Linked DNA regions of Coturnix japonica. The protein of the gene in region 3 binds, or shares a complex with, the protein of the main gene of each other region. Links are inferred from orthologs where the notes say so. Each region holds a gene or a part of one and is shown on either strand. Other genes may lie near its edges.

What was found.
Region 1: the proteins of EGLN1 (region 3) and EPAS1 are in contact, whole or in part, in a crystal structure (PDB 7Q5X), measured with the Homo sapiens proteins. The link is inferred for Coturnix japonica from reciprocal best matches to the Homo sapiens genes EGLN1 and EPAS1. Residues at the interface, in NP_071334.1 of Homo sapiens: Gln239, Leu240, Val241, Ser242, Lys244, Ile251, Arg252, Trp258, Asp277, Ile280, Arg281, Ile292, Asn293, Gly294, Arg295, Thr296, Lys297, Tyr310, Val311, Arg312, His313, Val314, Asp315, Pro317, Asn318, Asp320, Arg322, Arg370, Trp389, Tyr390; in NP_001421.2 of Homo sapiens: Asp525, Leu526, Glu527, Thr528, Leu529, Ala530, Pro531, Tyr532, Ile533, Pro534, Met535, Asp536, Gly537, Glu538, Asp539, Phe540, Gln541, Leu542.
Region 2: the proteins of EGLN1 (region 3) and HIF1A are in contact, whole or in part, in a crystal structure (PDB 3HQR), measured with the Homo sapiens proteins. The link is inferred for Coturnix japonica from reciprocal best matches to the Homo sapiens genes EGLN1 and HIF1A. Residues at the interface, in NP_071334.1 of Homo sapiens: Gln239, Leu240, Val241, Ser242, Gln243, Lys244, Ile251, Arg252, Trp258, Lys262, Asp277, Ile280, Arg281, Ile292, Asn293, Gly294, Arg295, Thr296, Lys297, Tyr310, Val311, Arg312, His313, Val314, Asp315, Pro317, Asn318, Asp320, Arg322, Arg370; in NP_001521.1 of Homo sapiens: Leu559, Glu560, Met561, Leu562, Ala563, Pro564, Tyr565, Ile566, Pro567, Met568, Asp570, Asp571, Phe572, Gln573, Leu574.

What each region holds. Positions count from the first base shown.
Region 1 is NC_029518.1:23,775,245-23,778,891, forward strand, and holds part of EPAS1 (endothelial PAS domain-containing protein 1), read left to right. Parts: coding exon 1-40; intron 41-421; coding exon 422-545; intron 546-636; coding exon 637-754; intron 755-1,166; coding exon 1,167-1,349; intron 1,350-1,590; exon of another isoform or gene 1,591-2,047; coding exon 2,048-2,199; 3' UTR 2,200-3,647.
Region 2 is NC_029520.1:49,067,605-49,071,251, forward strand, and holds part of HIF1A (hypoxia-inducible factor 1-alpha), read right to left. Parts: intron 1,941-3,647; coding exon 1,814-1,940; intron 1,664-1,813; coding exon 1,512-1,663; 3' UTR 1-1,511.
Region 3 is NC_029518.1:35,717,673-35,721,785, reverse strand, and holds the start of EGLN1 (egl nine homolog 1), read right to left. Parts: upstream 2,924-4,113; 5' UTR 2,781-2,923; coding exon 1,884-2,780; intron 1-1,883. UniProt on the Homo sapiens protein: Cellular oxygen sensor that catalyzes, under normoxic conditions, the post-translational formation of 4-hydroxyproline in hypoxia-inducible factor (HIF) alpha proteins.

The DNA.
Region 1 (3,647 bases), about 12 Mb from region 3:
CCCCAATACATTCTCCCAACATGCCCGTATATAAAAAAAGGTAAGAATTTATGTTTTCCATTGGAAAATATTTGAGCAGAAAGCAGTAGATATCTTGAATACATACAACTCGTGTTTGTGCTTAGCAAGGAGACAGGCATAGCTTTCAGAATCCTAAGATTAAAAATCTCATGACTCTTTTCCATATTATTTTTACGCTTGGCTGGAGATTTTAGAGGCTACTTATGCTAGTCTTTGATCCCCAAAGTAAAGTGTTCCCAAAGCATGTGGGATGACTAACAAAAGGAAACAAAGACATTCAACATACAGTGTCACGTGTCTAAAGGCCTCTTAAATGAAATAGACGAAAGAAGAATCTGTATAAATGAAAAAGATGGTTTAGATTTGCCTTCTTGCTCACCCAGAGATCTTTTTTCAACAGGCTGCTGGATGGTTTGGGGCAACGAGGCATAGATATAAACCCAGCAAGAATTGCTTTGTCTAATAGTTTGAAGCTGAAGCGACAGTTGGATTATGAAGAGCAGGCAATGCAACAGCTGACTGGGGTAATCATAAGAAAATGCATCCATTTCAGAATTGTGGATGTACCAAGATCATCAGTGTAATCAATTCATTTTGCTTTTCTCCAAACTGTAGGGAGACCCATCTGCCATTAACCCATCTCAGTTAATGTGGAAGAGAATGAAATTTCTCAAAGGGGAAAACTGTTCCTTGCTTACGGAGAAGAAGTCTCTCAGCACAAGTGTTCTTACTGGTAAGAGAAAAGAAATTGGTTCTGCAGTGTTAAGCTACTTTGAACTCCATCTCCCATATAGCTTACAGTTGAACAATTTATAGTATGTTTGATAGCTGCCAAGTAGATTGTTTCATATATGTCCATACCCTTACTTGGGAGGTAAATAGGGATCAGTTTAATAGAGGTAGGTTTACCTAGCGCTGATCCAATGTGTGGGCATTTAAAGCTAGAACAGATGCTTTCTTTCTACAGCACTGTTTTTCATTATTCAAAAATATCTTTAGTACAACACAACTTGCAGGTAGTACTGAATTTAGATATGCCTACATAGATTCATCGTCACACTGAGGAACAATTTGCTTCAAATTAGTATTAGCTTCTATAACAATTACAATGGCTTGATTTTTTTGTTTTCTCCTGTATGAATCAGATGAGTTTGTCTGCAACTCGAGAGGTCTGAGCCAACCAATGAATCAACTGCAGCTGCAGCAGCAACAGCAGCAACCCACCTGTGGCAGTCCTGGTGAAAATCTGAAAGCAGGAGCGTTTTCCCCTCAGTTTTACAGTCCCCATTATCAGGACTATACTGTGCAGTCAGCTCATAAAGTGTCAGGTAAGAGTTACCAAATACAGGGGCTGAAAAATGTTGGCATTTAGTTCCACTACAGATTCCATGAGAATAAAGCTTTTAACACAAAAGTAAGAGAATGTTAAACCAAGAGTCAAATGCGTGTTACACAAAATAAAAAATTAATTTGGCTATTAAAAGTTTCACATTAAACACATACATTTGTGATATATGTGAAAAAACAATTTTTTTCCCTTTGTTTCATTTCAACTAGTACCTCTGTTACCTTAGTAGTCTAGTCATCTTCCTGCATGTTCTTGTCTTGTGACAAAGGTGATTAAACTGTACTAAGCAACTTCAGTGCAGCAGTGGTAGCTCATGTTTGTGGATTACAGACCAACATCTGCCTTCTAAAAATTAATATCTGCAATGAAAGGAGATGTATGGAGATAGAGCAAGGCTGTCATTTTATGAGCTATGTTACTATAGCCTTCTTCATTTTCACTGGTGTCATTTTCCTCTGAACAATCTGAATTTAGAGTGGAAGTGGAAAACTTTGTGCTTGTAATCCCATAAAGCAGAGATGCTTTGTATTTGCTCTGAAAATGTTAACTGTTGGTAGTCTGAGGTGTGCTGGCATAAGTACAATACATAGTAGTAACTGGTATAAACAGAAGAGGAGGAAACATTCTCTTGCCCTCATTCTCTCCCTCCAATCTCAGCATCCTGATTTACTGTTTCAGGTGTGACGAGTCGTCTGCTGGGGTCTTCCTATGAACCATATTTGCTGCCTGAGTTGACAAGATATGACTGTGAGGTAAACGTCCCTGTTTTGGGCAGTTCCACGCTTCTGCAGGGCAGCGAACTGCTCAGAGCCCTGGACCAGACAACCTGAGCAATCCTGCAGTATTGGCCTATACTGTTCAAAACAGCTTCAGTTTTTAAATATATTTTTGCAAGTAGACGATTTCTAATACCAATACACTTTTACAGGATTTTACATAGATATTGAATCTGTCCACGTTACCAAATAGTGGCCTTTTGAAGTTACTCACTTCTATTATTCATATTAAAGAAATACATCTACTGTATTTTCTCTATTCCAATTAAAGTGTTGTTTAGAGAGTTTGATTACCTTCCCTTTATCTTGTTACCTGTAATTTATACTCAAATTTCCTTCGATTTTCATGCTAGTAAAAAGCTGTGGTATAAATGCCTTGTCGCATGATACTTTGGCTGCAGTACTGCAAAGATTTATTTTTATTGCCAAAGACAAATGAAACAAATTTGATCTCCAACCACAGTTTTTTGTTCATTTGCCAAATTGAAATCCTTTGAGCCTTTCTATTTTGCAGCATTTATTGCTTTCTAACTTCAATAACTTCTGGAAAAGCATACTAAAGAGAAATCCCAGCCTTCTGCCTTCCTCCCTTCCCCTTCAGTTTTATACACCTTGGTGAAAGAAATGTGAATGGTCAACGACAGTGTTTGTGGGTATCTGTGAAGGTTGCACACTGTAAGCTTTTTTCCTCAGAAGCAAGTCACGTCCTCTACTGACTTAACCTAGCTTAGTGCTAGGGACACGACTGTCCCACAGATTTATCCCAGTGGAGGATTCAGACCTGTGTTTTTGTTTGCGTTGGGGTTTCTTGCTTGTTCTACTTTTGGTTTTGTTTTTTTCTTTGTTGTTCCCTTCATTTTTTTTTTACACAAAACATCTTTTTTTTTTTTTTTTAACAGTTTCTCTTTGGGTCAGTTGTTCATCATCTCTTGGTACTTTTGCTACATCTAGAACACAAAAAGTTAAGAGCTGTTTCTGCTAGAACCAGTAGTATTTCTTGGAATGTTAAAATACTTCAGGAATGTGACCAATGGCCAGTAGTAACACCTCTGAATACTGCTACCTTTTTTCTGGTGTATGTCTGGCTAGCAATATAATTTCAATATTGAAACTAGGAGTAGTATTTTCTGGCATATTATGCTAACTCAATTGTAAGTGGAGAAAAAGAATTAAGAATGGTGTAGTGAGATGAATTACTGAAAGACAGGTTTTTCTCATTTTAACTTACCTTATGTTTTAATCAAGTGCTGAAATGTTATTAAACTCAGATGTTTTCAGGGCTCTTTTTCAACTATGATGTATTGTCATACACATTTTTAGAAATAAGGCTATGAATGCTTTCAAATGTTGAAGGTTGAAAATTGGAGTGTATTTAAGCAGCAAAAATATTAAAACTAATAAAAGTAGGTAGGCAGTTCTGACTTTGAAATAACTACATATTGAGGTATTTATTGAAATCCATCTGGTATCCTCCACTGGTATGAATCGTTGTGGCTTCACTG
Region 2 (3,647 bases), on a different chromosome or scaffold from region 3:
TCCCTTTCAAGTTTGCTAACTGGTGTGATAACAGATTAGAAAGTTTGACATCTTTGGCCGGCGGTAGTACAACACTGTGTGGGAGAATTTAGTACCGAATAGGCTCAAATAATGAAGTCGGAGATGCTGTGAGCAAAATAAGGAAGCTGTGATTTCCAATCAAGTCTAAGTTAAAAAGGGAACACGGATGAACAATAACCACTAACAAAAATATAAATTATCTCATTTTTCTCAGATAACACACTCCCCGAGGGGGCCTGGTCCACATATAGTTTATTGATGTAAGAAAACAATACAGTTAGTGTTAGATCCAACCACAAAGAGCAAAAGAACGAGTGAATGAATGTTTTGTACAGTACATATAGGAAAATAAGATGTTTGTGACAACTATATATTTCTAAATAAAAAGGCTTCTAAATATATTCAAGTTATTGAAATCTACACGAAAATATACGGATGTTAATAGCAACAAGGTGCTTAAAAACCAAAACATTAAAATATTGAGCAACTCAATGATGTACTAGATAAAACTGCTAACAATGCAAGATGGTTTACAATCTGCTTGAAATATCACCTATACCACACAGGGTAAGCTGAACATTTAGATTTAAGATCATACACAATATTAGCATTAACTTCAACAACTACAGGCAGGGATTTCTTTTAAGCTGGCGAAGTGACTACGTTAAGAACATCAAACTCTCTCTCTAAATTGAGAATGTACCCAAATAAAATGCTGCTAGCCCTTCCCAGATCAATCCTTTCCCTTCGACTAATCACACTCGTAAGTCAAAAGCATAAGACAGCATTTAAGAACAATTTATATTACAATGTGACTAAAATAATGACATAATCCAGGTTTAGACGTGATTTCGTAGGCAAACAAAAGATTCTTCTTAAAAACTAGTTTTTATAAATGCAGATATATTGCATGAGGAACTGCTGGTATTCTTTTTAAGAAAATATATTGTGCGATTGTGGCTACAATGCACTGCTGCAAAGCGTTGTTGTTTCTTATAAAAAAAATATTAAAATAATAAAAAAAAAAAACAACGAAACAAAACCTTACTTGAACATAAAGAGTAAGAGAGCACAAGTCTTCCAGCTACCTATGAAGAGCAGGATAGAAGTATTGCCAGTTTTTCACGTGCTGACATTTTACTAATGATGGATTTTGGTGACCAACTCCCCAGCCAAAAAAATAAATATATATAGGTTTTTAAAATCAGGTGCATATTTCTAAGCTGCTGTTGCAAGTGTGTTTTAAATGTAATGGACTTTAAAGTGTACGTACCAAAGAATTATAAAAACGCACTACGGTTTGAGTTATTGTTACATAAAGAATGTAGTAAAAAGACTGTCAAAATAAGTAGAAAGGGGATCAAAACTGAACTAACTGAATTAGTGCAGTACTGTAGCCAGGCTTCTAAAATCAGATATAGAAAATATAAATAGACTGCTTTAGGTGATGATTCACCAGTGTCCAAAAAAGGAACAACTACTGTGAAAGCTCAGTTAACTTGATCCAGAGCTCTGAGCAGTTCTTCACCCTGTAGCAGGTTTCTGTTGCCTTGTATGGGAGCATTTACTTCACAATCGTAACTCGTGAGTTGGGGTAGTCCACTTTCATCCATCGACTGCCCTAGAAGTTTACTCGCTATGTCTATAGAGGGAGGGGAAGGAAAAAAGTGCACTTTATTCACTTTCCTCCCAGATTTTTCAGGAATGAGATGAGCTGGGGTATGTTTGCATCAGTTTTCTTTCACAGCCCCTGCCCCCCTCTACATACGTTTTGTTTGTTAAAGATACTAACCAGTTGATAGTAGAATGATTGTCTTTTGCTCCACTCCATTGTGACCGTTTGTTTTACACGCCTTTACACGTTTCCAAGCAAGCGATGCGTTTCCTCCACGGTCACCTGTCTGCTGGAATAAGGATCCCTAGGAGAAAGTAAAACAAAATCATCTTTGTTGAATGGTGCATCTTGCTTAGACTTCTGCACCCCTTTGCCAAAATAGGGATCCCTGTCACTGATGTTGGCTTTATTACAGTTTACAGATGAATTCGTTCAGAATTGAGATCAAATATATTTCCAATAGAGTAGCCATAAAAATTACTTTAAAAAAAAAAAAAAAAATGGGATCAGATTTCCAGAGTTTACCTCCCTTGCACAAAGTAATTACTGAATCCTGGTTATCACCAGCTACCAGGCTCAAGATTAGCACGGACAGGTACCTATACATGCCCATTTGATTACCACTGCTCTCATACAAATAACTATCACATTTTTCCATTGGAGTCTCATGGTTTTCTGCACTGGCATTAATAGTGTAAACAGGAGAGTCAGGAACCTCGCTCAGTGGATTTTATCTACATCTCAGTTGTAAAATCTGCTTGTGCACCAGATGCTGCCACCAAACCCAACTGACCTAAGGCTTAAGGGGAATGCAGTCCAGAGCCGTTCTATTGCAGAACAGCTCCTTAGCATATTGTTTTGATGGCAGCATCCAAGATGTAGAGATCAGAAAGCTCTGGAAAACTCCATATAATTAGAATAAGAAAAGGCCTCGACTGAAACAAAGATGGGATGAAAGGAAAAAACACCATCTTAGTAACAAGGGGTTGAATCTGCAAAATTTTGCCATGTTAGTAATGCTGACTGTTGGGAAAGAAGAAAAAGTACTTAAGAATCCTGCCATTAAGGGACAGCTTTTCAGGTTATTAAACATGCATGCAAGTCAAAAGACAGCTGTGTAACAGGAGTTAAACAACTCAGAAGCTGCATTCATAGCAAGTCACCGGTACTGTTCCTGTACTGGTTTTTGTTCCATTCTACTACTGGGAATGCATTGCAGCCCTCCATATGAAGAAAAATAGCTCACTTTTTTCTGCTTTAACTATTTGTATCACTATTTCCTAATATCACTATAGCACACTTTGTCTTTGCCTAATTCTCTCATCTTCCAGAAAACCTGAAGTTGTATTTTGTCTTCAATTATTTTTGCTCTTTTCAATAATTAATAGTGCTTCTATACAGCCATGGAAGTCATGGCAAGTTTTTGCATAGTCCCAAATCTCTGTGTGATACAAGCCTGGATTTAATATAATTTTTCTTCTGTGTGTCTGCAACGCCTAGTTTGTACACTCAGAAATCCACTCTGGAGAGAGAAACCAGATGACAAAAGTACCTGCTTATAATAATGTCACTAAGACCCCCCACTATGTGGAAAATTCACCTTCTGACCATGCAGAAACTGTCAAAATATTTATAACACTCATCAGGCACAAAAAGAAGGTTTAGCAAAGGGTGAAATACAAACTTGTAAGCTTTAAAAGGGCTCTCAACATGTAAGTTTGTGTTTATTACAATAGTTAATATAGAACTGCTTGTGTTCTGCTACCTTGAAATGCATATCAGCAACACTGTAGCACAGCCATAGCACCACTGCATGAGAAAGGCAACAGAAGGCAATAAAACTTGAAGCAGAGCTGTGAATTCTTAGGAGCTACTGAAAGCAATGGCACAGCATGCATGAAAGTGCAAAGCATTGAGCGAATAAGACTGATAGCATAAGTACGTTTGTTGTTTTGTTGTTGTTTTAAATCTGCTAACCCCATGGCAAAAAAAATAAAGAATGGAGGTATGA
Region 3 (4,113 bases):
CTCATAAAGATCTGGGTATTGGCTTTATTTGGTTAAGCAAACTAAGCCGTGCACTTTGTATCAAGGTTGGAAAAGACCTAGAAGATCATCTAGTCAAGTATGGTGAGCTAACAGAAAAGCTTTGGGGTAACTGCTGTGTAGTAGCATCATCTCTGCTGCACACTCATCTCTACAGCTAAGAACAAAATGAACTGCAACTCCTGCAGGAGTGAGACCAAACCTTGATCCAGAGAAAGCAGAGACGAGAAGGAAACAAAAAACAAGACTTTCCCAATAACCCAGAGGTGTCACCGTGTTTCCATCCTCCCAGAGCCAGTAGCTCTGTCCCAGTAGCTCTGATGGGACATGTCAAAGCAGCTCCTGCCCTTGGGCTCTACTCACTCTGGCAGAAGGGTGAAGGAAAGGTGCAGGCCTCCAAGGATGCAAGAGAGAGTCTGCTACCCCTGCAGACATTATGAACAAACACAGACAAACCAACCAAGTCTGATTCTTCCACTCAACTTGTGCAGCCCCTTGCAGCGATACACCTTCACTCACTAGTAAATTTTTAACAGTGATGGACAGATTTCCTCCTGCTTGTGCTGAAGCTTTAGGAAACCAAGCTTTCCTGCAACACCAGAAGCACTGGTTTTGGGAGATAAGCAAGGGAACAGGAGAAGACAGAAAGTAATACATTTCTGTACCAGCGAGGAGCAAAGGGCTGCCTGCACCTGCTTCGGTCCCTGGAAACACAGGGATTTATTTCAGTAGCAAGTGAATACCAAGTGGTGCTCAGCAAACTTCACAACTGTATTGCTGCTGTATTGCCCTGGCACACGTTACTTCCAGCAGCACATCACTGTGCTCGCAGACAAAAACAGTGCTTCTCTTGGGAAGCACTCAAGGCTCCAGATGTTTGCAGCAGGTGAGTCTGAAGCACAGGCACCTTAAAGAATCACAGAATGACCCGGGTTGGAAGGGACCTCAAGGATCATGTAGTTCCAACCCCCCTGCCTGGCAGGGCCACCAAACATACACCTTTACTAGATCAGGTTGCCCAGGGCCCCGTCCAACCTGGTCTTGAACACCTCCAAGGACGGGGCATCCACAACCTCCCTGGGCAGCCTGTTCCAGGGCCTAACCACTCTCCTAGTGAAGTACTTCCCCCTAACATCCAACCTAAGTGCTCTTTTCCAGAATCGTAAAGGCTGGAAAAGAGCACTAAGACCATCCTGTGTAACCATCAGCCCACCCACCACATCCCTTAGTGCCCACACACGTTTCTGTTATACCTCCAGTGACTGTGACACCACCACCCGCACGGGCAGCCCGTGCCACTAGCACACAACTTTTTGGCTTAGAAAAAATCCGAGTCAACAGAGCAGGAGGAGAAATCCAGACCACGTTTGTGATGGCGTTCACAGAGCACTGCTTCAACTGGCGGTACGCGCAGATTGCATCGCAGAACAAAAAGAAGAAACGAGAAGTTCCCCCCACGTTGCTCTGCGGCAGGAGGTAACTCAGCGCATCCGAACAGACCCGGGGCTGTCTCTCTCCCCCTCCCACTCCCGCTTCCCACCAGCTGAGGCCCCACAGCTGCACCAACAACAGCGACTCTGTGCCCGGGCCGGCCTCGCCGGGCGCCCCCCGGCATCTCACTGCCAGCCTTATACTTCAACAGAGGCAGCAAATTGTGAAGGGGCTGAAAAGACGGTAATGAATATTCATCGCGGTCCTTCACGGAGCGTACGATCTCATGCGGCGGACCTGAAGAGAATCGCCAATCAGGCCGACACAACGGGGCTCGCTTCTGCGCCCTCGGCCGCCCCGGAGCGCATCGGCGACCACGTGCGCTCGGTCCCGGTCCCGGCCGGCGGCCCGTCCCCACCCCGTCCCGCACTCACTTTCGTCCTGCCGTTGATGCGGTAGTTGCCCAGCTTGCCGTTGCAGTGGCGGATGAGATCGTCCATGCTGTTCATGAGCAGGCGGATGGTCTGGCAGCCCGGCTCCTTGCCCTCCACCCAGGTGATCTTGTCGCCGCGGATGTCCTTGGAGGAGTCGCTCTTCTGGCTGACCAGCTGCCCGTCGGTGAAGCGGCCGGTGTGATGCAGGGCTCGCACTTCTTGGGCCACCAGCCCGCCCAGCTCTTTGCCCAGGAAGTCGTCTACCACGCAGATGCCGTGCTTGTTCATGCAGGGCACGATGTACTCCAGCGCCAGCCGCTGCGGCACCAGCGACTTGGTCTGCCCGTTGGGACGCAAGGCGGCCCCGCCGGGCCCCGCCTGTACGCCGCCCGGGTACAGGTTCGACTTGTCCCGGTACAGCGACACCGCCTCCGTGGCGGGAGCCGGGGCCGTGGCCGCCGCCTCTCCGCCCCCGGCGGCCGCGACGCGCTCGTCGTCCTGCGGGGCGGCCTCTCCGTGGGGCTCGGGGCCCGGCGCGGCTCCCTTGGCCGCCTCCTGCTCCGTGCGGCCGCAGGCGCCGCGTGCGCTGCGGGAGCCGTGAGCGCGGGGCGGCGGGGGCTGAGCGCCGCGAGGCTCTACAGCGCCCCCTGCCGCGCCCGCCGCGCCTCCCCCGCGGCAGATGAGCTTGTGCTTCTTCCAGTCCTGCCGCTGGTGCTCCTTGCTGCAGTAGAACGAGCTGCGGCAGCGCCCGCACCGCAGCAGGTTCTCCATCTTCCCGCACAGCTCGCAGTACTGCCGGTCCCGCTCGCTGCTGCTGCTGCCGCCGCCGCTGCCACCTCCGCCGCTGCTACTGCCGCCGCCGCCCTGTCCGGCGCCGCCGCCGCTGTCATTCGCCATGGCGCTGCTGGTGCGGCCGCAGCCCCGCTCCGCCGCTCGTTATGTAAGGAGGCGGGCGGGAGCGGCGCTACGCGGGCCCCCGCCCGGCCGCGCTGGGAGCGGCGCTCACTGCATCATGGCCGCCCGGCTCGCCGCGGCCCCCGCCGCCCTGCGCGTCCGTCGGCCCGCGGCCTCCCTCCCCGCTCCTCGGCGCGGCCAGGCGCGGGGCCGCCGCGGGGGCCCTCCGTGCGCCTCTAGCGCCGCTTCATCGCCGCCCCGCGGGAGGCGGCGGAAGGCAGACGGGGCGAGCGGGCGGCTGGCGCGGTGCGCGGCCGCTCTGCCGAGTGCGCGGCCCGGCGCGGCCGCCGCCCTGCCCGCCGCGCCTCAGCGCCGTGTCGGGGCGAGGAGGAGGCGCCACGCTCGCGGCCCGCTCTGCACGTACGCCACTTCCAGCCCGCCAGCGCCGGCGGCGCGTCAGGCGGGCGGGGCCGAGCTGCCGGCGGGCGGGGCCGGGCCGGGCCAGCCGCGCCGTGCGGGAGGCCGGCGGGGTCCGACGTGCTGCGAAGCTGCTGACGGGGCGTGGCTGGGAACCTCGGGCCGAGCCCCCGCTGCCGGCGTTGGGAGCGGGCGGCACCGGCGTGACGAGTGGTTAAAGTCGAGCCTTGGGTCCGGCCGCGGTGGCCGAGCGGAGGGTCGGGCTGTGTCACTGTAGGCCCCGAAGTCAGCCGGTGGAGCAGGAGGCAGCGCCGTCCCCCTCGTAAATAACGTGTGGCTTCTGTTCGATCTAACCCGGCCCTGACCGCCGGAGCGAGGCGGTTTAAATAATGCAGAAGGAAGAGAGAGCAGATGATGGGGGCCGTGAAACCACGAGGTGCTGGGGCCGGCGCTACCGTGAGCGGGACAAAGCCCCACAGGAAAAGGAAGCTGGTTTGGCCGAGCGGCGGGAGCTGTGGGGACGGCAGAGAGGAGGTGACGCCATGGAGGGATGAGAGCCCCACCATGGTCACATCGGCTGTCAGCAGCCACACCAGGAGCTCTGAGATGACGTGTGTGCTCCGATCCACTCGGCTTAGCCTGAACCTTGCTGGCTTGCAGTAGATGTCAAGTGAATGTGATGTATCCTGTACATCCTGTGCAGTATGGCCCAACACAGTGTCAAGGTGCAGCACTCAGCAGCTCCTTCCTGGGCTGTGGGGCTCATTTGCTCTGAGGCCCATCCGGCAAGCAGAGCAGAAGCTTTGGTTGGCTGGGCTGGGCAAGGGCACTCAGCTGCTTTGTGTATCTTCTCAGCACAGAAATCCATCCTAAAGCCAAAGAGGCCCAAGAAAGGAGCCATGTGCAGACCTGGGGGTAG